Oryctolagus cuniculus: one gene and its partners. The protein of the gene in region 2 binds, or shares a complex with, the protein of the main gene of each other region. Links are inferred from orthologs where the notes say so. Each region holds a gene or a part of one and is shown on either strand. Other genes may lie near its edges.

Evidence for each region.
Region 1: MED13L (region 2) and MED20 share a complex: the UniProt entries of both Homo sapiens proteins name them as parts of the mediator complex. The link is inferred for Oryctolagus cuniculus from reciprocal best matches to the Homo sapiens genes MED13L and MED20.
Region 3: MED13L (region 2) and MED21 share a complex: the UniProt entries of both Homo sapiens proteins name them as parts of the mediator complex. The link is inferred for Oryctolagus cuniculus from reciprocal best matches to the Homo sapiens genes MED13L and MED21.
Region 4: MED13L (region 2) and MED25 share a complex: the UniProt entries of both Homo sapiens proteins name them as parts of the mediator complex. The link is inferred for Oryctolagus cuniculus from reciprocal best matches to the Homo sapiens genes MED13L and MED25.
Region 5: MED13L (region 2) and MED16 share a complex: the UniProt entries of both Homo sapiens proteins name them as parts of the mediator complex. The link is inferred for Oryctolagus cuniculus from reciprocal best matches to the Homo sapiens genes MED13L and MED16.
Region 6: MED13L (region 2) and MED24 share a complex: the UniProt entries of both Homo sapiens proteins name them as parts of the mediator complex. The link is inferred for Oryctolagus cuniculus from reciprocal best matches to the Homo sapiens genes MED13L and MED24.
Region 7: MED13L (region 2) and MED26 share a complex: the UniProt entries of both Homo sapiens proteins name them as parts of the mediator complex. The link is inferred for Oryctolagus cuniculus from reciprocal best matches to the Homo sapiens genes MED13L and MED26.

What each region holds. Positions count from the first base shown.
Region 1 is NC_091436.1:127,992,858-127,996,731, reverse strand, and holds the end of MED20 (mediator of RNA polymerase II transcription subunit 20), read right to left. Parts: intron 2,958-3,874; coding exon 2,704-2,957; intron 1,430-2,703; exon of another isoform or gene 1,233-1,429; intron 1,119-1,232; coding exon 903-1,118; 3' UTR 501-902; downstream 1-500. UniProt on the Homo sapiens protein: Component of the Mediator complex, a coactivator involved in the regulated transcription of nearly all RNA polymerase II-dependent genes.
Region 2 is NC_091452.1:12,506,744-12,510,243, forward strand, and holds part of MED13L (mediator of RNA polymerase II transcription subunit 13-like), read right to left. Parts: intron 3,402-3,500; coding exon 3,176-3,401; intron 2,178-3,175; coding exon 2,072-2,177; intron 1,758-2,071; coding exon 1,633-1,757; intron 1-1,632. UniProt on the Homo sapiens protein: Component of the Mediator complex, a coactivator involved in the regulated transcription of nearly all RNA polymerase II-dependent genes.
Region 3 is NC_091440.1:124,258,902-124,261,924, reverse strand, and holds the end of MED21 (mediator of RNA polymerase II transcription subunit 21), read right to left. Parts: intron 2,434-3,023; coding exon 2,333-2,433; intron 1,337-2,332; coding exon 1,160-1,336; 3' UTR 501-1,159; downstream 1-500. UniProt on the Homo sapiens protein: Component of the Mediator complex, a coactivator involved in the regulated transcription of nearly all RNA polymerase II-dependent genes.
Region 4 is NC_091449.1:7,724,013-7,726,273, forward strand, and holds the end of MED25 (mediator of RNA polymerase II transcription subunit 25), read right to left. Parts: intron 2,114-2,261; coding exon of another isoform or gene 2,016-2,113; exon of another isoform or gene 1,984-2,015; intron 885-1,983; coding exon 640-884; 3' UTR 501-639; downstream 1-500. UniProt on the Homo sapiens protein: Component of the Mediator complex, a coactivator involved in the regulated transcription of nearly all RNA polymerase II-dependent genes.
Region 5 is NC_091447.1:58,472,558-58,476,057, forward strand, and holds part of MED16 (mediator of RNA polymerase II transcription subunit 16), read right to left. Parts: intron 2,741-3,500; coding exon 2,309-2,740; intron 1,908-2,308; coding exon 1,802-1,907; intron 860-1,801; coding exon 704-859; intron 1-703. UniProt on the Homo sapiens protein: Component of the Mediator complex, a coactivator involved in the regulated transcription of nearly all RNA polymerase II-dependent genes.
Region 6 is NC_091448.1:22,404,805-22,407,319, reverse strand, and holds the end of MED24 (mediator of RNA polymerase II transcription subunit 24), read right to left. Parts: intron 2,486-2,515; coding exon 2,386-2,485; intron 1,646-2,385; coding exon 1,565-1,645; intron 1,326-1,564; coding exon 1,177-1,325; intron 1,040-1,176; coding exon 923-1,039; 3' UTR 501-922; downstream 1-500. UniProt on the Homo sapiens protein: Component of the Mediator complex, a coactivator involved in the regulated transcription of nearly all RNA polymerase II-dependent genes.
Region 7 is NC_091447.1:64,938,934-64,943,082, reverse strand, and holds the start of MED26 (mediator of RNA polymerase II transcription subunit 26), read left to right. Parts: upstream 1-1,349; 5' UTR 1,350-4,039; coding exon 4,040-4,149. UniProt on the Homo sapiens protein: Component of the Mediator complex, a coactivator involved in the regulated transcription of nearly all RNA polymerase II-dependent genes.

The DNA of each region.
Region 1 (3,874 bases), on a different chromosome or scaffold from region 2:
GCAAGGTTCCGCGTCACAGCGAAGCCTTCCAGCAAAGTGTGGCACCAGCACTTGAATCGCTCCAGGTCATATGCTCTAAAAAAAAAAGCCGCTCTCTTCCCTCTTTCCCAGGGGAATGTGGACACAGAACTGAGGAGTCTGCTTTGATCTTGTGGGTAAGGATAATACCCTAGGGATAGCTGAACAACAAGACAGAAGGAAAACAAGTTCCTGATGACCTGGTACAGTTAAATCTGCTCTGGACCATCTGATTACCTGTGTACTATCAGAGGAGAAAGAAACTTTTACCTAGTAAGAGCCACAGTCCTTTTGGTTCTCCGCTACGACAGAGTTTAGCCTGTGGCTTAACATAATCACGACAGAAGGGAAAGACATCAACAGGAGAGCTCAAAAACTCAGCTAACACCCTAGGAAAGTCAATTCACAGTTTCTGGCAAACAGGTCAGAAAATGACAGGCATCAAACAAGCTGTGCTTCCGCCTGCATCTCCAGCCACATCCTTTGAGTTAAGGAAGAGATTTTTATTCCTGCATGGCCCAAACACGAAACGCAGCACATCTGTTGTGGGTCCAGACTGATTTCCCCACCAACACTAGGCAGGGGCACCCCTGTCCTACCTTTTCCCCTAAAGCAGGAGAGGTCCAAACTTCTCCAGTCTTCATAAATACCATTCCTGAGGACAGGCCAAATCCAGTGAGGCCTGGGGCAAAATGGCTGTTGGGGGGCTGTGTGAGGGTCAAGGGTGTGGAGTCCAGAGTCCCCACAAAGGCCACAGCTGGGAACTGGAAAGGAAGAGAGGCCTCCATGGCTGCCCTAGATTTCTGGGGTCCAGAGACCTGAGGGCAGCACCTCCTCCTGTGGAGTACCTCTGGTGACAAAGCTTGGCCAGCAGCTGCCAGCCACTAACGAATCCCAGCCACTGGCACCTGCTGCTGCTTGCGGATCTTGTTGAAGAGTTCCATGTACTGGACCATGGTGTCTGCTGGGCCATAGACTGCGTCGTGTCTGTTTCCAAACACTGCAGGAATCCCTGGTGTATGGCTGCCTAGAAAACTCTGTAGGAACTCAAGCAGCAGGCTCCAGCAGTCACTAGCTACCACGCAGGGGCCGTACTCCACCTGGGGACCAAAAGAACAGAGAATGAGGGTAAGGGAGGGCAAGGACAAGGTCTGCTCTCTTGCCCTCCTGCCCTCTGCCTCTATGTCCCCCAACCCTGAGTCAAAAACACACACCTGCCAGCACAGTGTTGTCCACAGGAAATATTCAACACACCCAGCATTGTTCCCATTAAACGCCATCCTGGAGGTTGTCAGCCCGCAGCCCTCCCTGTTAGCCCCATGGGCAGATCTGGGTCCCTTTTGTTTGTCTCAGGGCTCTGCAGACTCTGCTGTGATGCTTGGTGAGGATTCAAGGAGAGCTCAGGAAAATTCTGAGACATACAACAAAGAGAGAAGGGAAGAAAAATGTGTGTAGGTACGAGGAAGGCAGGAGTAGGGCTGAAGGGGTAAGTAGAGGGCAGAGTAGACACACATCCTCATGAGCCTCTTCAAGACCAATCTTTATTTCCAAGGCAGATATAGCCAGGGCTCTACGCCTAAAAGAATTTCCCAAGCAAGGTGGCAGCGGCCAAGAATACACATCTCAGGTTTTCTTGTTCCTCTCTCCTAGTTTTTCACTGGGGTCACAAGGAGAAACTGTTGAGTGTGTTTGTCCCACAAGGGTGGAAGTGGAGGACAAACAGCGGGTCCCGTTGGGTCTCAGCAACTCAAGGTGTATCCCAAGCTGAAAAGTTAGGGAATCTGTGCTCCAGAGGTTTCTGAGCAGAAATCACTGCTACTGCCCTTTTCCCCACCTGGGATGCTTCCCAGACCGACCCATCCCACGTCTCTATGTTTTAAGCCCCTACTTCAATGCTGCTCCTCCCAGAAGCATCACAACCGAGTCAGCAGTTACCGCTGGCCTGAATTCCCTGAGCAAAGCTGTGCTCCACTTATGGCATTTCTTGGACTGACTTCAAAAACAGTTTTCTAGCCTTGTTCTCTTAATAAATCATAGATTTCCAAAATGCAAGCCCTGTAAACTTCCTTGTTTTTTAATCTCAAATAATGCTGGGTATGTGGTAGGCCATGGACTTCCCCAGGTCCCAGGGCCAGCTTCCACCTTACTCCTCTCTGCCAATTTCAGTATGTATATTTAGGCTCACGGATGAAGTCTTCTCATACAGGTACCCCTCTGCACCACAAAACAGAGCAGCAGCATATCAAAAGGAAGGCGCATTTTCACTCCACAACTTCTGAGACCCATTTCAAAGCAACAATAAGGAGGCTGACATTCAAAGTGATGAAGGAGTCACCTTCCAAAAGTGGCTCCAAAAGTTGTCCTAGTCTGCTGCAGGTCCTGCCACAGCTCCTGCACATCATCACCCACATGTCTCCCTCAGTTCTCCCTTCCCTTCTCCGGCAAGTCAGGCATCGTATGCTTTTACCTGCTGTGCACCCAGCTTCCCATTTCCCATGCTGGGCTACTGATTCCATAACTGATGAAAGAAAGGGTAAAAAATTCATGGAGAGAAAGCCAGGAGCTTGGAATCAGGGGTCAGGCAGGCAAAAACATCTGTGTGACCTGGGCTGCCTGGAAAACCTTCAGAGCCCTCTGCTGCGCAGCCCCTCAGCACCACCTGCTCCCACTTCACCGAGATCTTACCTCCACAGAGATGCCCCGGGCACTGGGACCCATTGTCACAGTGCCCACCTTCACCAGGAAGTCACAGTACTGGTAACGGGTGCCCCGAGTCTCAATCTTGCTGGCCTTGGCACTCTGGAAAAAGCCCTTGAGCTTCACCATGAGCACATCAAAGTTGGTGTCAGCAATAAGGCAAGGGCCATTCTCAAAGAGGGCGAAGCAGCTCAACGGGTACTCCGAGTTGTGCATGACATACATCAGCTTCCCGGCCTGACCTGCAACGGACGGAGACCTACTCATCACCCAGGCTTTCGCTGGCAGACCCAGGCTGGGATCAACGCATGGAACAAGGCCAGCTGGCAAGCGGGTACTACTTTAGCAGTCCTGCATACCAGTGTGTATGTGGGGAGTGGTTCCCCTCTCCTTGGTGGCTCACAGAGGGATGCTTAGATGACTAACAGCTCATACAGAAAAAAAAGCTCAAACAAAATGTACTATGTTCTTTAGTATCTGAGAGTATTTCACAAAGACTGTAGAAAATGGAATCAGAAAACAAGCCTAGAGGCCAGTGTTGTGGTGCAATGGGTAATCCACCTCCTACAACACTGACTTCCATGCTGGACTGCTAGTTTTGAGTCCCAGCTACTCCACTGCTGTTTCAGTTTCCTGCCAATGTGCTTGGGAAGGCAGAAGATGACCCAGATACTTGGGCCCTGCTACCCACGTGGGAGTCCAGAATGCAGCTCCCAAACCTGGCTATTGTGGTCATTTGGAGAGTATTCCAGTAGATGAATGATCTCTCTCTGTCATTCTTTCAAATAAATAAGCATTTTTAAGTCCATTTTGGTACAAAAAATTTTTGAAATCTATGCATATTTTTTCATTATATGCTTTTTTGGGGCTGGTGCTATGTCAAAGCAGATAAAGCTGTTGCCTGCAGCACCAGCATCCCATTTGGGTACTGGTTTGAGTACCAGTTATTCCACTTCCAATCCAGCTCCCTACTAATGCACCTGGGAAAGCAATGGAAGATGGCCCAAGTGCTTGGGTCCCCACACCCATGTGAGAGACCCAGAAGAAGCTCCTGGTTTTTGATTGGCCCAGCTCCAGCCGTTGTGGCCATTTACAGAGTGAATCAGTGGATGGAAGATCTCTCTGTCTCTATAACTCTGCCTTCACATAAAATAAATCT
Region 2 (3,500 bases):
CTGCCCAAAAGCCTTCCTAGCCCCATCAGTCTCTACCCACCATCAGCAATCAGATCAAAGGTTTTCCATTATCCTCAATCTAGTTCATTCTTGGTGCTTAATCAAGGCTCACTCTGGATCCAAACTAATGTCCCCCCTGTCTTTTACCCACCCCAATTTTCCCACATTGAATGTCAAATTCTTTCTTTAAGGCCACTATGATCTCATCATCTTCTGAGTACTTATAATACTAACAGTGCATAATATCTATTAACTAGACATATTTTATGGAGAGTTAGAACTGGCTTTGGAAATTGACCCCTATTTAACCTTTCAGGCTTAACTTAAACACCGATACTGCCTGTTTGCACTTGAAGGTTTGTCATCTTTCGACTCTGTCCTGTCCCTGGACTCACAGCAGTAAGTACACTACAGTTTTAATCATAGCCATTTCTCCTTATATCTGTGAGCACCTCGAGCAGAAGAGAGAGGTAATTTAATCATATTTGTGCCCTTACTGATTAGCCTCAGTACCTGCCACAAGGGAACTGATCATCAAATGATCAACAATTCATGTAAAATAAATGGATGGAGAGGCATATAAATGAATCAATGAAGGAAAAATAAATAAAGTGGCTTCCTTGAAAAGACAGTCCCTCTTATTCATCTATAGGTGCTCTCAAAATAACAGACACTTACATTTCAGAGGTACACAGCTGATCAAGAGGACAAGGACAGACATTTCCTGACTCTTAGCACTCAGGTGATCTCCAAATAATTTTAATTCTTATCTGACACTATAATCACCTATTAGTTAACTTCTGTGTGTACAAGTTCTACTTCCCTAACACAATACTATGATCCTCAAAAGTAGGTGTCACACTTGTCTATTTCTCAAACTGTAGACTAGGAGTAGGCTCTGTGGTGCAGCAGGTTAAGCTGCCACCTGAGACGCCCACATCCCCTATCAGTTTAGTTCCGGTACTTCCACTTCCGATCCAGCTTCCTGATAATGTATGCTGGCAGGCAGCAGCTGATAGTTCAAGTGCGTGGGTCCCTGCCACTTCCATTGCAGATCCAGGCTCTTGGCTTCAGCCTGGCCTAGCCCTGGGAAATAAACCAACAGACGGAAGAGCTCTCTCACTTAATCTCTCTCCTTCTTCCCTTACCCCCTCAGTTGTTCTGCATTTCAAGTAGATGAAAATAAATAAGCATTTAAAAGAAAAAAAGGAAAACAGTCCTAAATTTAAAAAAAAAAAAAAAAAACACTAACTTCTGATTTAATAGATGAATAAAAAGTTGTGTGGGAATTTTTTTTAAAATTCCTATATAAAGAAACTATATACTTCCATTAGCCCCATCATATTTAGAAAAACTTATTAAAATAAATGGGAAAGATTTTAATATTTAGAACTGGAATGACACTAATGAAAACACCTGTCAACCAACAAATCCCAAGAGGTGTCAGATATAACACTAACTTTCAGGATACTTTAAAAGCATATGGTAACTTTCAGGATACTTTTCAAAGTGTCTGAAGCACATTCAGAACTTGAAATAAAAACCCCCAAGTTTAGGGGACTAAACTAGAACAAAACACTGAAACACTGACACAGAGCAAAATGCTTGTATGTGTGGACACGGCCGACTCACCCCAAGCTCCTCATCATCAGAATTATCAAAGATGTTGTCTAAATCATGAAGGGAAGGTGCCAAATCTGTCACTTGTGTAAGGCTACTGGAGCCAGCTCTGCCAGCAGCATTATCCTGCCGGACATCTGCGGGAAAGGAGGCACAGAGACAGAGTGAACAACTTCGTCCAGCGAGAACGAGGGAGGACAGGACACAGATCTCAACCAACAAGACCTGCCTGAGAATTTTTTTCCTATGGTTTTAGTTAAATTTTGAGACAATTATTTCCAAATATGTTTATCAGTTTTGAAAGGAACTGAAAAACAAACTATGAAAAATATATTAAAGATGTGATCAAATTATTGCTATTACAGTAAGAATAATTTTTAAATCCAGAAGCATCTCCCTTGCATTTTATTTTAGCAACAATCCAAGTGAGGCAAATAACCATTGTACACACCTGTTTTAGTAGCAGAACTGAAAATAGACATGGCATTTTTCCCATCAGGCACCGGCGTGGAATGACCTGGTGTAGTGACATCCTTGGTACCAAATCCATCCTCTGACTGCATAATAAATTCAGCCAAACAAAGCACATGAACACCAACCCAAAGTGTGGAATATGAGGGAGAACACAAAGAATTAGAGGGCAGAATGGAACTTGTTATGAGCACAAGTATGATAAACCATGGTCTATGCAACCAAAGGGAATAAAAGATATGTTCTTTCTCCAGATTTTAACAGAACCAAGAACTCCCCCACTTTCCCCTCAATCCTACGGGGTATCCTATGGGGTATGAGTGAATCAGTGTTTTACACCTAAACAGTACTGGTGGCATTTGATTAAGACCTGCCGTGATGTTAAAAGCTGTCTTTAATAACATTTTAGAGGCTGAATTACAGATCTTTTTCAGATCTGGACAGATGTATGTAAAGGAATCTAGAAGACATTCCCCTGAACTATACTCATCTCTTTTAATTTTTATATTTCCTCTATTTTCAGGAATATCTCTTTCAGTGGCTCAGTATTTTAGAACTTTAAAATTTAAAGTCAAAGACAGCAGACACACCCAGTACTCACTTTTATGAAAGCAGGATGAGTAAAAATACACTGAAAATCTAAGGGCAGTGTTGATATTCATTCAGAGGATATACAGAAATAGCGCTCAATACAGTAAGAATAGGCGCTCAATAAATAGTACACACTATGGTCAACATTTTTCCTTTACTTTTTGGGACTTTGTAATAATATTTAAAAAGAATTAAGCAGGGAGCATAGGCCAACAAGAATTAGCATATGAGAGGAAACATGCACTGTACAAGCTATAGCCTGGAAAATATGAGGCTTCATTTATGTTCGGCTGACTTTTAAACAAAGGTGAGCCATGACATAAAAAGGAACAATACGCTGTTCGCTACAATAGTACCAAGAGCATGAGTATGGGGACAGAGCAATCAGGCAAGGCTATCTCAAACACTCTGCCTCGAAGTCTTCCCAAACATGGTGTAGTAACAAAGATAGAACCCACACCACGCTGGACTCTGTCTCTCTGTTAAATGGTACCTTATTCTTCTTCAGAGAATCTTTCTCCGACCCTTGTTTGCATTTCTTATTTGCTGTGAAGATGTATTTTATGTCACCGTCCTCAAAGGTATATGGGTCATTGACTTCTCCCAAACTGTCTCCAGGTTGCTGTGAGAGAGGCAATGGGTCAAGGAAGTGGAGCGGCTGCGTCTGGGGCTGCTTGTCTTGCCAGATTTTAAACCGTTTGTTAGGTTGTGCTAGAAGTCTAAAAGGGAAAATAAGTGACAATTTGAATAAGGCAAAATGATATTTCAAAAGAACAGCAACATTTATGATTTAAAGCACTTATAAAACTGAAACTAAA
Region 3 (3,023 bases), on a different chromosome or scaffold from region 2:
CCCAGAGCTGCATCAGTCACTGTAGCTGACATGCTGACACACTGAGGAGCGATGGAGAAAACAACTCTGAAATAACTGCTATGGGAGGATGGCCCTCTTAAAATACAGCGGGGGGGGGGGGGGGGGTAATGAGAGCAGAATACAGGCCTGTAGATAAAGAGAACAAGCCAATCAGGATGAAGAAAACTCACAGCAGCCTGGGAATTTCATTGAGTCAAGGCTTTCTCAGTCAAAGCAAACGTGGAGGTGAATTCAAAGGGACATGAGGTTCTGCAAGAGCAAAGGTTTGCCTCAGTGTGACCTACTCTCACCCGGCCACACTAACACTTTGGGTTTCTGAGAACTGACAAATTTTCAGAAACTTCCTTTCTCAAAGCTCCAAATTTATACAATGCCACCTCCATAGTGGCAAAGATACCAGCCCACTGAAAGATCCATCTCTGCACTGAGAATGTCTCTTCTGGCTTCAGGGTTGTTTTCATTTATGAAAGGACTACCGATTTTTTTTTTTTTTTAAGATTATTTATTTGAAAGAGTTACAGAGAGGCAGAGAGAAAGGAGAGACAGAGAGAGGTATTCCATCCACTGGTTCACTCCCCAAATGGTTGCAATGGCCAGAGCTGGGTGGATCCAAAGCTTGGTGCCAGGAGCTCCTTCTGGGTCTCCTATGCAGATGCAGGGGCCCAAGGACTTGGGCCATCTTCCACTGCTTTCCTAGGCCATTGCAGAGAGCTGGATCGGAAGAGGAGCATCCCAGATTCTTAACAGTGCCCATATGGGATGCCAGCACTGCAAGCGGTGGCTTTTCCTGCCACCCACAGTGCTGGCCCCAGGACTATTACAGAAATTTGAGTTTTAAACAACATACAAACTTTGTCACCAAAGAACAGTGCATGTTTATTTGTATTTTGATCACAAATGCAGTATCTGCCTTAGTAATCTCAGATTAAAAAAAAACTGATAGTTTAAAGCTGGTTCAATCACAACTTTATATGCTTGTTTATCAAGAGTAAAAATAGAAGATTTTAAAAACAGCTACAAAGGTAAAACATGTCATAACGTTTAACGTTTCTGTAACTGCTGGTAAGGCTGACATTTAATCCAAGGTAGAATTCTTAATGGCCTTGAGACAGTTCTTAGCCGCCGGCACGTGCCGGTGCTATGAGTCCGGCAGGGTCTGGCTGTGGGTGCCGCTCCTCGTCTTCAGCTGGGACTGTGCAATGTCAGCGAGTGCACTTTGGATCTTTTCCAGAAGCATGTCCCCTCGGTACACAACATCCTCCAGACAGGTGGCAGCTTCGTGGTTCTCCTCTTCTAGCTTATATAAGCTAGCAGCCTTTTAAGACATAAATTTGACAATCTTTTAGAGTGGAGAAGAGACTGCAGTAGAGGTATTTATTTTTAAATCTCGGTGATTTTGCAACCAGTGATACAGTTTTAATAGGAGAAATTCTCAAAGTGAGGTAACTTAAGTTCCTCCATATGATTATAAAGTAATGGATTTTCAAGAGATCTTACTATCTAGTATGACTCTGTTCCAAACTGCCTTTGCTATCCATTATTTTATTCCTCGTTCAGAAAGCCACCATCCTTTCCTTCTTTGCTAGAAAAAGATAAACCAGAACATACAAGGTTTCCTTCTAACTCAAAATTGGACAACTACTGTACAGCTATTCAGCACAATCTTCAACAGACAATACTAGCACTGAATTAGTGAAACGCCCATCTTAGAGGCTGACATCATGGCGCAGCACGGTAAACCATCATCTGCCACACCAGCATCCCATAAGGGCGCCTGTTCAAGTTCTGGCTGCTCTACTTCAGATCCAGCTCCCTGCTAATGTGCCTAGGAAGGCAGCAAAGGATGGCCCAAGTCCTTGGACCCTTGCACCTACATGGGAGACCCGGAAGAAGCTCCTGGCTCCAGCCTGGTCCAGCTGTGATCATTTCGGAAGTGAACTAGAGTATGGAAAGTATGGGGACAGTGTTGTGAGATGCAGTTGGTTAAGCCACCTCCTGCAATGCCAGCATCCCACATGACTGCTTGGGCTCCTGTCACCCACATGGGAGACCCAGATGGAATTCCAGGCTCTTGGCTTCAGCCTGACCCAGGCCAGACTGTGGTGGCCATTTGGGGAGTGAACCAGTGAATGGAAGGTATCTCTGTCTCCGGCTCCCTCTCTGACTTTGTCTTTCAAGTAAATCCAAGAGTAAATCCTTAAAAATAATCATAAAATAGTTCTGAATATTACAATGAAAGTCAATAAATCTATCTCCTTCAATTCAAAATTCTCTGCTACCAGTAAAATTCTCTAAGAAAAAAGGTTGTTACCTGTAACGCAGCTGTGGATTCTTCACTGGGTAAAGAATCTATCAAAACATCAATATCTTTTGCTGTTCGTGCAATAAGTGCTGCAAAAAGCTGGGCATACTCTGCAGAAAGACTACTCAATTAGTATGAGAAAATCTCGGGTTTACACAAACAGAAAATTAGATTCAAGTTAATGAAACCAGGAAACTTCACCTAACTTTTTAATATTAGAATTCCAATGATCAAAGTGTTATTTTAATGAGTCAGTGTAGTGATGCACTGGGTTGAGCCACTAATCGTAATGCTGGCAACCCATGTCCCAGTGCTGGTTCAAGTCCTGGCTCCTCTGCTTCTGATCCTGCTCGCTGCTAATGTCCCTGGGATAGCAGCAGAAGATGGCCCAAGTACTTGGACCCCTACCACCCATGTGTGAGACCTGGATGGAGTTCCTGGCTCAGTCCCGGCCTTTATGTCCCTGTGGGGAATGAACCAGTAGATGGAAGGTATCTCTCATGCTCTCTGTCTCTCCCTCACTCTCTATCACTCTGCCTTTCAAATAGAAATATTTAAAAGAAAAAAATCAATTTCAAGGCACCAGTTCTGTTACATATTTAACTTAATACAGGCTCAGAGAATTAAGCCTAAGGCATGTTCACTTCATGTATTAGGATAATATGGAAGACACTAGAATCAATGAATCTGTACATGGGAT
Region 4 (2,261 bases), on a different chromosome or scaffold from region 2:
GCCCGGGCGGTCCCGGAATCCGCCTCGGCCCCGGGGCTCAGGCCTGAGCGCTGGGCGGCAGAAGCGAGGGCCGGAGCCGGCGCCCAGCGGCCCGGTGGCCGAGCGGACGGTGCTCAGCGGGCTCCCCACGTCCGGGCGTCCCCACAGTGGCAAACGTGAGGACACATTCAAGTCGCTGCATGTGACGTCCTTGCAGAGCAGTGGTCACAGGAGCCGGGACCCCGACTGCGCTCCTGGGGTGGGGGCCCGGGTGGCGATGCGCCAGCTCAGGGGACTTCAGCAGCTCCAGGGACACCCGCCGGCGCACGGAGCGGTGTCTGTCGAGGTGTCGGGGCGTCCCCCTGCACGGCGAGAACAGCGCCAGGGCCCGAGTTCTCTGTCCTGGGACCCAGGCATGCTGGTGGCTCCCACAGGTCACCGCCACCACCGCGGCTGTGCTGCAGACCCTGGGCCAGTCCACGGGTACTTGCCATCTTCAAGACACCAAAGTCACTTCCCGGCCAGGGCCCACCTGGGGCGGCGTCTGACCCCCAGGGTCCCACCAACACCAACGCGCTCGGCACCGCGAATAAATAAAGTGGCCTGGGCTGCGCCGTCTTCGGCGAGGGTCGCAGGCCCGGCGGCCTGGCCCGGGGACTCCTACTGGCACTTGAGCCCCTTCTTCAGCTCGTTGAGCAGGGCCTCGCGCGTCTGCTCCGTGTACTGGTCGTAGCTCTTGCTGTGCTTGGACTCGTAATGGCGCTTCAGGTTGTACTCTTTCAACACAGACACGATTTTTTTGCATATTAAACACGTAGGCATGCTCTTCACCTCCACAAAGAAATAGTCTCGCTCCCATTTCTCTCGAAACACGCGGCCCTCGCCTTCTCTCTTTCGCTTTGCCGCTTTTGGTAGAGACATGGGTACAAGAAAGGTTTCACTCTCTGCACGCCACCACAGGGACAGCCGCAGTGCACGCCAGGGCCACGGCGGTGCCGCTGCCTCCCGTGGGGGGCCGAGGGAGCGGTGGGGACTGTGGCGAACCGGGGAGCACATGCCCCCGACAGGGCAGTTCTGCCCGCTGCCGCCAGGCAGAAGCGTGGGCCCGGGGGCCAGAGCTGCTGACCTCACGAGCAGCCGAGACTACAGATCGTGTGTGTGTGTGTGTGTGTGTGTGTGTGTGTGTGAGTGCCCCACTTCTACAACTACCTCAAGAAGTGCCCAGGCATGCTAACACACGGAAGGCCAAACAAAACCCATCTGAGGGGCCCCCGGGCCACCAGATTGCAACCTCTCCCTGGGGCGGGCCCTAGACGCTGCACGCCGAGCGCGGAGCGGGGTCCAGGCGCACCCTGCCGGACACCCGCGCGGCCCCCAGGGCAGGGCAGGACAGGCCGGCCTGCGCCCAGACCCTCACCCTGCCAGGTCCCCCGCCTCGGGCGGCCTCACTGAACAACCTGTCCAAGCCCGGGAAGGCCGCTCCGACAGGCCCAGGCTGCCCTCTCTTCACACGCGCCTGTCCCTACAGCACGGCCTAGGCTCCCACAGGGCGCCTTCTGCCTGCACGCCCCTGCACCAGCTCCTCCACCAGAACCAGCGGCCGTGCCTGGCCCAACCCCGCGAGCCCTGGCCTCCTGCCTGGCCTCCCCGCCCTCCACGGCCCAGGAGTCTTCCTGACACACAGGAGTCGGCCCAGGCCCCCTGGTGCCGCCCCGCCAGCTCCTCCCCTCACGCTCACTCCAGAAGCACCCACCAACTTGCTGCTCAGACAGCCCACGCTCCCGCCCCGGAGCGTCTGCGCGGCTGTCCCTGCACCCCGCCTGACCCCACTGGCTGCTGCGTCCAGCGGCTCGGGCTCCTGCAGTCCTGCAGCGCCCCGCGCCGCGTGCACCGCGCAGTCCGGCCGCTGCCTGCCTGCCTCTGGCTCCCGCGGCAGCAAGGACGGGACAGAGGTCTCCCGGGCCTCCTGCCCGGGGCTGGGGACGTCAGTGACGGGAGCCGGGCGGGTGTTAAAAGGAACTTTATTGGGGGCGGGTTCAGATGAGATCCATGAGGATGTCGTCCTCCATGACGCTGGGCTGCAGGCCCGGCGGGGGGACCGGGCCCCGGGGACCCCCGCTCAGCAGCATCTGACCTGGGGGGCAGTGGGAAGGGACTGCATCTCCCAGTAGGCCCTGGGGCCCTGCAGGGCCCTGCGCCTGCTTCGCCCCTCCTCCTGAGAGCCAAGGCCCTCAGTGTCTGAAGTCGCCTCGCCCCGCCTGGCTGCAGACGCCGTTTCCCAC
Region 5 (3,500 bases), on a different chromosome or scaffold from region 2:
CCCCTGTTCCCACAGGGACGGAGCCGCCAGGACCTGGGGCTCCCGGCAGGGGTGCCTCGGCCTTCCAGGAGCCAGACACAAAGGGCCTGGGGTGGAAGGGGGTGGGGGCTGTCCCTCCCCTCGCCGCAGGCCGTGAGGCGGGGGCAGGGCCTGGGCTGGGCAGCTGTGCAAACTGAGGCTTGGTGTGGAGACCTGGGGAGCTCAGGGCCGGCATCCAAACGTCAACACAAGCCAAGAGCCCGGCTCGGACCCCTGCCCCGCCCCAGGACACGCTGACCCCCCCCAGCCCCAGGACACACTGACCCCTGCCCAGCCCCAGTGCATGGACCCCCCCTGCCCCGCCCCAGGACACGCTGACCACCCCCGCCCAGCCCCAGGGCATGGACCCCCCCCTGCCCAGCCCCAGGACACGCTGACCCCCCAGCCCCAGGACACGCTGATCCCGCCCCGCCCAGCCCCAGGACACGCTGACCCCCCAGCCCCAGGACACGCTGACCGTCCCCTGCCCCGCCCCAGGACACGCTGACCCCCCCCAGCCCCAGGACACGCTGACCCCCCCCGCCCAGCCCCAGGGCATGGACCCCCCCCGCCCAGCCCCAGGACACGCTGACCCCCCCAGGACACACTGACCCCTGCCCAGCCCCAGGACACGCTGACCCCCCCACCCCAGGACACGCTGACCCCCCCCCCCCGTCACGCCTACCGAGGCCGGGGTAGAACTGCGTGTCGCTGGCCACCTTGAGGTCGGTGTTGGTGAGCGAGACGGGCAGCTTGGGCAGCGCCACGGCCGACACCCGGTCCAGGTCGTTGGTGGCCGACAGGATGCGCCACTTGAGGATCATGGGCTGCTTGTCCACAACTGGAGGAGGAGGAGGAGGTGGCCGCTGAGCCCCGCCCCGCCCACCCCAGGGGACAGCTGCCCCCGCGGGCCGACAGGACGCGTCCAACACGGCGGAGCCCCGGAGGCCGGCCCCTGACCAAGGCTCTGACCCCGTGCCTGCCCGAGCCAGGCTGCACTGTGGCAGGTGCCCGGGGTGGACGCCGCGGCGAGGAGGGTGGACAGCAGGGGCCACATCTCGGGTCTGACGGGGCCCCAGGCTCCCTGACTCAAGCCCCCAGGGCCCTGCTGCGGGAGCGTGGGGACCCAGCCTGGTCGAGGGGAGGGGGACGGGGCTCTGGGCGGGGCCGCGGTCACAGGGACAGGGCTGGACAGAGCCAGCGTCCCGGCCTCCCAGGGGCCCACAGCTGCGCGAGGACGAGGGCTGAAGAAACGGCGGGCGCAGGCCCCGCGAGCGTCACGCCCTGCCTGTGCGCCCAGCACTGGGGGGCGGCTGCCGGGGAGCCCAGGGCCCTGGGGCAGCCTCCAGGCCAGCTGGGGTGTCCACTGCGGGAAAAACACCTGTGTCCTTGGGGGGTCTCTGTGTGGGGAGAGCAGGCTGTGTGGGGGGGGGAGCAGGCTGTGTGTGGGGGGAAGCAGGTTGTGGGGGGGAGCAGGAGCAGGCTGTGTGTTGGGGGAAGGCCACCACCTGCCCCCTCCCAGACCCCAGACCCGGTGCCCGATGCCCCCCAGACCCGGTGCCCGATGCCCCCCAGGCCGCTGCCCGCCGCCCACCTAGACCCGGTGCCCGATGCTCCCCCCCCCGCCCACCTGCGCCCAGACCCCAGACCCGGCGCCCGATGTTGCCCAGGCTGCCGCCCGCCGCCTGCCCCCGCCCAGACCCCCGACCCGGTGCGGTGCCCAGTGCCCGGCGCCCGAGCCTGCCCGCGGGGCTGGCATGAGCGGCCGCCCCAGCGCCCTCACCGGCGGGGGAGATCTGCTGGAAGACGTTGTTCACGGGCAGCCCCTCCTTCCGCAGGGACCAGCACTCCACCAGGCTGCTGGTCTGGCTGGACGCGCACAGGAGCACCTGCGGGGGGGGGGGGCAGAGCGCGCTGGGGGCGGGGCCCTGGGCGAGCGCGCGTGGGCGGGGCCCTGGGCGAGCGCGCGCGCGGGGGGCGGGGCCCTGGGCGAGCGCTCGCGGGCGGGGGGGGGGCAGAGCGCGCTGGGGGCGGGGCCCTGGGCGAGCGCGCGGGGGGGGGCAGAGCGCGCTGGGGGCGGGGCCCTGGGCGAGCGCGCGGGCGGGGGGGGCGCAGAGCGCGCTGGGGGCGGGGCCCTGGGCGAGCTCGCGTGGGCGGGGGCGGGGCCCTGGGCGCGCGCGGGGGGGGGGGGCGCAGAGCAAGCTGGGGGCGGGGCCCTGGGCGAGCGCGTGGGCGGGGGCGGGGCCTCCCGACGCCCATCGCCGCGGGCGCCGGAGCCCGGGCGGCGCACCTGCTCGGACATGTCGCGGGCCAGGAACTTGAGGTGGGTGATGGCCGGGAAGCTGTCCTTGCGGCTGAGCGCCGTGGTGCAGCGCATGAAGAGCGAGGGCAGGATCTCCGTGTCGATGCGGCACTTCTCGCTGACCACGCCCACGCACACCTTGTAGAACTGCACGGGGGACGCGCTGCTGCCGTCGGCCGCCGCCACCACGATGTTGCCGCCGCCCGTGAAGGCGATGTCGGCCAGGGCCACGCGGCCGCGCAGGCGGCACAGGCTCTCGGTGGACGTGAGCACCTGCCCGCTGGGCTTGAGCAGGGACACGGTGACCAGGCCGCTGACCGTCACGGCGATCCAGCCCTCCATGGGCTTGCCGCCGAACAGCGTGAGCGACGGCGAGAACTTGACGCGGGAGAACTTCTCGCCGAAGCTGGAGGCGCCCGACTGCGGGAGAGGCGGAGGGGCCGGGCTGCCGTGCGCGCCGCACCGGGACCACCGGAGCCCCGCCCCCGCCCCACCGGAGCCCTGCCCGCGGACCACCGGAGCCCCGCCCCTGCCCGCACACCCGGACCACCGGAGCCCCGCCCCCGCCCCACCGGAGCCCCGCCCGCGGACCACCGGAGCCCTGCCCCTGCCCGAGCACCCGGACCACCGGAGCCCCGCCCCTGCCCGCGCACCCAGACCACCGGAGCCCCGCCCTCGCTGACCCCGCCTTGCCTGTGCGGGAGCCCGGGACACGCCTACCGCGGAAGCCCACGGACAGGGCTGAGGGGGGACACGCGTGTGCCGGACAGGGCTGAGGGGGGACACGCGTGCACCGGACAGGGCTGAGGGGGGACACGCGTGTGCCTCTCAGGCCCAGCCACATCGTGGGGGGCTGCTGCCGCTCCAGTGCCACATCAGGCCTTCAGATTAACATCACGCCCACGCCCGGAGAGACGCGGGAGCCCCGGCCCCTCCCCCAGACCCCCGGCTGCCCCGGCCCCTCCCCCAGGCCCCTCCCCCAGACCCCCGGCTGCACCCGACCCCAGTCGCTGAGCCGCCTGCAGCCTGTGCTGGACTCCACCCGTGGCCGTGGGCGCCGGCTCACACCACGTGGCCGTCCACCCGTGGCAGGCGCAGCACAGCCCCTGAGTGGCAGGGAATTCTGGGATACCAGTGGCTCAGCGTGAGGGCCGGGTCCTGGGGACGGCGGCCTGGGTGC
Region 6 (2,515 bases), on a different chromosome or scaffold from region 2:
ACCACCCAGCCCACTGTCTTGGGCGCCCTCCCTATCCTCAGCTCCTGTCACCCATTCTCCTCCCCGCAGTGCCTTAGACAGCAAGGCCAGACCCCAACTGCCTGGCTGAGGGCTCTCCCACAGGGGCTCCGAGCGTGTGGAGAGGCAAGGAAGGGTTCAAGAGCGTTGCTGTCCCTCGCCCTGTCCTGTGGAAGCGACAGCTCAAACTGCAGGCCGGACAGACCGGGTGGGGAGCCACAGAACAGGACATGCTGCCCCAGCATGCCAGAACCCCTCCCGCTTCAGGGTACGGCTCACCAGGTGGGCCGCAGGCCAGTGCTGTCACCCCACTTGGGTCTGAGCCCAGGAAGCTGCTCTCACTGCCCCCCTCCCCTACCCAGTGAACACACACGGGAACCTAAGCCCTACTTCCTGAGCCTCTTCCTCCTCCCCCCTCCCCCAGCTCCAGTGCAAGGGACACGGGGCGCAGACGCAGACACCCATGGTGCGGACACTCACAATGTGATCCGTGAGGATCTTTATTTACAAATGAGCTGAGGTGGGCTTCCCCTCACATTACAAAAATACACGGCCCGTACACACATGCACATGCACTCTCTCTCTCCCTCTCTCTCTCACACATACACACACACCCTTTGCGTCCATGAAGTCCTGGGGGCCAATCTGCAAGGGGGAAGGCTGCACAGGGGCCCTGCCCTGGGCTAAGGATCCAGGCTGCTCCTTCTCTTTAGATACAGGCAGAGGGGAGAAGAAATTACAAAAAAGTAGGAACTGTTTAGAAGTCAGGAAGGGGGGAAAAGTTCTGGAGACCAACCAAGGGCTCTCACACCAGAGCAACGCCGTTTCATCTCTCCTCACTCTTCCCTCCTGAGGTGCCTGAGGCTGGGACCCTCCCAGCCATTCCTGCAGCCACTCCAAGCCCTCAGAGGGCAGCAATGGCTTTGGCGGCCACCTGGCGGCCCAGAGGCAGGCTGAGGTCCGTGATGGCCAGAACCACCTTGGGGCTGGACATGGCTGACACCTTCACCAGCTCCGAGACCTGCCACAGACAGAACAACAGAGGCTCACCAGGTTCCTCAGGTGGTGCAGGGTCCCAGGAGGAAGGAGGCCCCACCCCGGTGCGGGTGCAGCGACGCCTGGGCCGCCTGGCGGTGGCCCGGGGTGAAGGGCACTCACGGTGGTGAAAGGCATGAACTGCAGGATGCTGCCTCGGCTGCCCTGCTCCAGGCAGTCCACGCACTCCTCCATGAACCACTGCACGAACTGCGTGTGGGGGCCGGCGGTGCGCGACCCCAGGATGGAGGAGATGAGCAGGAACAGGTTGGCTGTGCAGGACGGGAGAGCAAGAGGAGGCAGAGATCAGAGTCCAGGGGAAGGCAGGGGAGTAGAAGGGGGCGCCGAGACCCGCAGGCAGGAATGTCCAGGGGAAATAGAGGAAAACGGGGAGACACGGGAGCACTGGCGAGGGGGAAGCAGGTGCAGTGGGGGAGGCGAGGCCTCTTCCAGCGGACGTGGCCCCTGCCTCCCTTAGGGAGAGGTTCAGGAGCAGCAGCGGGGGACTCACCCAGGACTCGGTTCAGAGGGTCCCTCATGTTGACCGTGTGGAGCTGGGAGGCCGAGAGGGAGCTGCTCATGGAGCGGTCAGCTGTGGGGAGGAGCGCAGGGACGCTGAGGAGACGGCCACTGCACTCACTGGTGGCTCTGCCAGTGGCAGCCCCCCCCAACTCGGGGATCAGCTGATCCCTGCAGAGCCCAGAGAAGACCCTCAGACCAGAGTCCAGAGGAGCTCTGAATGCGGACATCCCCATGAGGAGGACCGCCAGGGCCGGGGCCCAGCCTCCGGGCTGCACCAGGACTCAGCTCTCAATTCTCACACCCCATCTGCAGGTGAGGACATGGGGGCTCAGCCTCGCTAAGCAACAAGCCGCGGTCACGGGGCTTGTAGGTGGCAGGCCCAGTATCTCTCCTCCTCTCACACGTGCACTTGGACCCCGAAGTCCCCAAAAAGCCTCAGAGAAATTTCTATTCTCAGGAAAGAGAAATGGCACCGAAGAGGCCTTAGGGGAAGGGGGCGTGGAAGCCAGGCTGGGCCGGTGCTCCGCGGGCAGGAAGAGTGGGGAGCAGCCCCAGTCCCAGCTGGGCCTGCTCCAGACCACAGGGTGTGTTTTGGGGGAAGGAAGGAAGCACAGAGCTGATGAGTCAATGGCACAGACTGTACTGAGGCAGCTGTGGCCATACCTGCGTGGTTTGTCACCCCCCAACCCTGTGGTGAAAGGGAGGGACCAGGGAAGAACCAGCCAGCGGAGCCTGTGGCTGCGTCTGTGCATGCGCGGCTCTCGGGGCCGGGGGGGGGGGGGGGCTGGCAAAGGCAGCCCCTCTACTCACTGGGGCTCGAAAGGATATTGGCGTCATCCTCATTGGAGCTCAGCAGTCGCATCAGCTTCGACGGCTGCGTGTCGTCCAAGGGGAAGAGGCTGCTGTAGTCCTGAGGGGCAGTCACTGTTTCACAACCTGA
Region 7 (4,149 bases), on a different chromosome or scaffold from region 2:
GGGCTGCACTGCGTGGTCCTCGCGTGCGTTCTCTCAAGGGGCAGCCCAGGGTGCCGTGGCGAGCCTCAGCAGTTGTGCCTGGTGTCTCCCGGAGGTTGGTCCCTGTTCCCGCTCGGTGCAACTCTTCCGCGGTAGAGCCGGCTCAGCGCTGTGTGCGGGTCCCCTCTCGCGGGCCCCAGGTCCTGTGCAATCTCCTGTAGCTGGCATTCTTATTAGCGGTTTCTGGGAGAGGGGGAGTTGCCGCCGGCCCAGTGTCCTCACAGAGGGCAGAGGTGAAGGCCTCGGTGTGGCTGCCTCGCTCGCTTGCTCGCGCTCCAGTTGTGTCCACGTCGGAAAGGAAGCAGCTTGCAGGTGACATTCTGAGACCTGCTCTGCCCCCAGAGGGCCGAGATCAGGATTCTGAGTCCAGGGGCTGTGTGAGCCAGTGGGCCTTGGGCCGGGAGGAGCTGTGCAGACGTGAAGTGGGCGGGAAGCGAGGAGGGTCGGGGCGGGCGGTGGCTGCGGAGCGCAGAGCCGCCGCCCTCTGCTGAGCGGAGCTCCCACCTGAGGCCTGCCGTAGCTCTCCTCCCAGGGCCACCGTGCGTTTGCACGCCTGGGAACCTCCACCGCTGCCGCAGCAGCTTCCCATTTCTGGGCGACTCGTGGGGAGCAGCCAGGCCTCCGCCCGCTGCCCGCACCCAGGCTGGTGCTTCTGTCCCCGACCAAGGTTCCAAGTGCGATTTTGTGCTCGGCCCGTTGCTGCCCGTGGCAGGAGCTCAGTGCACAGGGTCGTCACCCCAGGGACGCCGACAGGCCGCCCAGAGGGCTGATACTCCGGGGGCAGCAGGCCGGCCCGCCAGTGAGGAAGTGCTTTTGCAGGTGGTCACTTGGTGGCTGTGACTGGGATATCCCCCCCCCCCCCCCCAGCCGGGCTGTTCTTCCTCTGGGAAGCCGTAATGAGGGACTCTGCCCCTGTGGGTTTGAGGCTCCCGGGGCGGCGGGGGGGGGGGGGGGGGCTGTGGAGGAGGCGGGAGCGGGCAGCGCTGGGCTGTGTGGGGGCCGCAGGGGCCGCCCCTCCTTGCAGTGACTTGCAGCAGAGGGAGCTGCCTGGGGACTCGTGGGGTTTGTCAGAAGCAGGAAGACTTGGGCTGAAGAGCACGGCTGGACCAGAGCACACACGCGTGCACCAGCGGGGCCCGCTTCCTTCCCGTGTCCGCGCACACACGGCGCATGCCCAGCCCTGTGCAGGCGGCCTCCTGCCCAGCACCACGCAGGCTGTGCTTGGGCGTGGAATGGGAGCGACGGCTTGCTCCCTGATGAGCACTTCCAGAGCTTTGCGAGTAAGTGGTTTTGTAAATTCTGTCTAGACCAGTTCTGCCTTTAAAACTAATAATAAACCAGCAGCAGTGTCCACACTGTTAGATTCGGGGGAACCCGTTTGCGCAGGTGCTTTGGGGCCGCAGCCCCGGGAGGGGGGTACTGCCCACTGCCTGGGGCGTTGGAAGGGTGGCCAGACGGGGAGTCATCGGGCCAGCACGGCGCGGAGCAGGCTCCAGGGCTGTGGATGGGCCCTTGGCTCAGCGTTGAGTGTGGGCTGGAGACCCCGTGCGGCCTGGGGAGAGCACAGAAGCAGCACCAGGGCCATCTGGAGGTGGCCCTGTGGTTTCGAGGAACGTTCTGGAAACTGTGCATTTCCTGCTGGGGAGGGTCAGAGTCTGATGCCACTGTCCCTTCAGGCTGGCGGGCGGGGCCTGTGCAGCCTTCTAGCTGGGTGGTCTTTCTCCTTGGGCCATCTGTTTCTTTACCTGGAAATGGGGGCGTGGGGGTGAGCACTGAGAGATGTGGGCTCCTGTGCAGCCCGCCGGGCCGGGGCAGGCTCAGGGCTCAGGCCTGAGGGAGCGTGGCACACCGCCAGCTGCAGGCCGGAGAGGGCCCTCCCCGAGGTGGAGACGGGGCTGGGAGCGGAGGGACCTCTCCGACTGCACGGCCGCGTGTCTCAGTTCCTCGTTTCTGCTCAGGGCTGGAAATCCCCCGCGGGCAGCGTTGCTCGGGCGCTGCAGGCGCAGCCCCGCTTCCCCAGGTGCGGCTTTGCCGAGGCCGCCTGGGCTGCAGGTGCCCTCACAGCCCCGCGGCAGTGCGACTCGGACGGCGGTCTGGGCTCCTGGGGGCGTGAGGGTGGCCACAAGGCAGAGCGGCCACGGCCTGTGACCCAGCTGTGGACTCTGCACCATGTGCCTGGCTCCCGGCTGCTCCCGCACGGGTGCGGCGGTGTCCTCTCCACCTATGGAGACGGGCAAGGGCTTTTGCCCATGTCCTCACCCTCGTGTGACAGACCTGGAACACCCCTCCTGCCTGCTGGCTGGTCTCGGCTGCCCGTGCACCTGCCCTCTCTGTGGCCGTAGCCATCCTGGGCTCCCGCTAAGGGAGAAGCTTGAGTCAGGCCGCGGGCCGAGCGCTCAGCCCTGCCTTCTGGCTCAGGCACGCAGGCCGTTTCTGTGCTGGGACTGGCGGGCGGCAGACCCGCAGCCTGCGGGAGGCCCGGCGAGGAGCTCCGGGGGGCTCAGCAGATGGAGGGGCCGTGTCCTTTGGAGCAGAGGTTAGGCCAGCACGGCCCCCTCCCCGCACTGGTGGCAGATGGTGGAGCCACACGCCGCGGAGGGGCTGCCATCGGGTCTGTGCTCCCTCACCTGAGTGCCTGCCAGTCGTCTGGAGCCGAGACCTTCCGTCCGGTGTTAACAGATCAGGTGTGATTTGTCGTGTATATACATTTGTTATCTTCGGCAAATTTCAGACATCAAAGCAGAGAGGAGTCTGCTCCGCGTCCTGTTGGGTGGACAGCACGTGGAGCCAGTCCGCTCTGCTGCCGTCCCATCCCCGGGAGAGGGGCAGCGCTCCTGGGCCCCGGGCTCCCTGTGGGCGCTCCCCTGTGTGGGTCCGGCCCCGCTTCCTTCGCGTGTCGGCTGTGAGACGTGCTGGCCACACCTGTGCAGGAAGCCTCAGGTCTCCTGGGGCGTCCGCGCCTGCGCTTGGGTCTCGGTGGCGCGGGCACGGGAGAGCCTCGAGCGCCCGGCATGCATGCCGCACGTCCGGCTGGCCACCCTCACCTAGATAGCAGGTCACCTCTCCCTGCTAGTTCCGCCCGCCTTGACCCTCCAGCCCAAGACCAGGCGTCCCCACTCGTGTCTGTGAGACCCCAGAGACACGGGCTGGCCGGTGTGTCCTTTCCTGTCGGCCCCGAGTGCTCTCCAGGCCAGGATCCCGTGTGACAGTCCACAGCACCCCTGGGACTGCTGCCCGAGAGCCCTCGGGGTGGGCACCTCAGGGCCCCCTCCCACTCCAGGCCAACATGGTGGTGGTGGTGATCGGGACGGCCCCTTGGTGGAACTGGGCCGGCACCGGCTTCTCTGCTTCGAGGAAAGCAGTGATGTGCATCTGCTCGGGGAGCCCTGACAAACCTAAGAGGCCGCAGTCCCTGCCAACTCCTCCCTTCTCCGAAAGCCACTTGGCAGAGGGTGGGGAGGTGTTTGGCCTGGGAATGAATCCCCAGGAAGAAGCTGCGGGCCCCCAGCGCCCTGTGTGCCGTGGGCGGTGTCGGCAGAGCCGCCTTAGGCTGCCTCGGGGGCAGCGCCTGTGCTGGCATTCGGATCAGGCACATTTCTCCACGGCTCCGGGAGCGACCGAGACCTGGGGCGCGGCAGCAGCGAAGGCTGGTGGGAGACAGAGTGTGTGGGAGCCAGCCCGCGCCCCCCGTGTCTGTCCCCTCTCGGCCTTGCCCTGGTGGTCCGTCCTGGCCGCCAGAGCCCCTGTCAGCCACAGGCTCCCTTCACTGACGGTGGGAGGCCACTGGAGGGGTATGGTGTGGTAGGCGAGGCAGGTTTCCCGTGGCCAGCTCGCCTCTTGCTCCTCAGGGCCCCGCACGGCTGGGTGCTCGGTGTCCCCTGGGACAGAGTGGCCGTGTTGGGCTCTGCAGGGCTGTTGGATCAGGGACCTTCCATGTCCTGCCCGCCTTCGTGGGGGGCCGGCACTGCATTGCTGGGGGTGGGGGCCTGACTGCTCTGGAATGTTCCGCTGGTGTTCAGGGGCACGCACCCCTCTCTACCTGACCTGGCTTTGTAGGTGGAACCCCAGGAGCCTGGCCTCCTCCCCAGCGGGTAGAGAGATCTGCAGAGG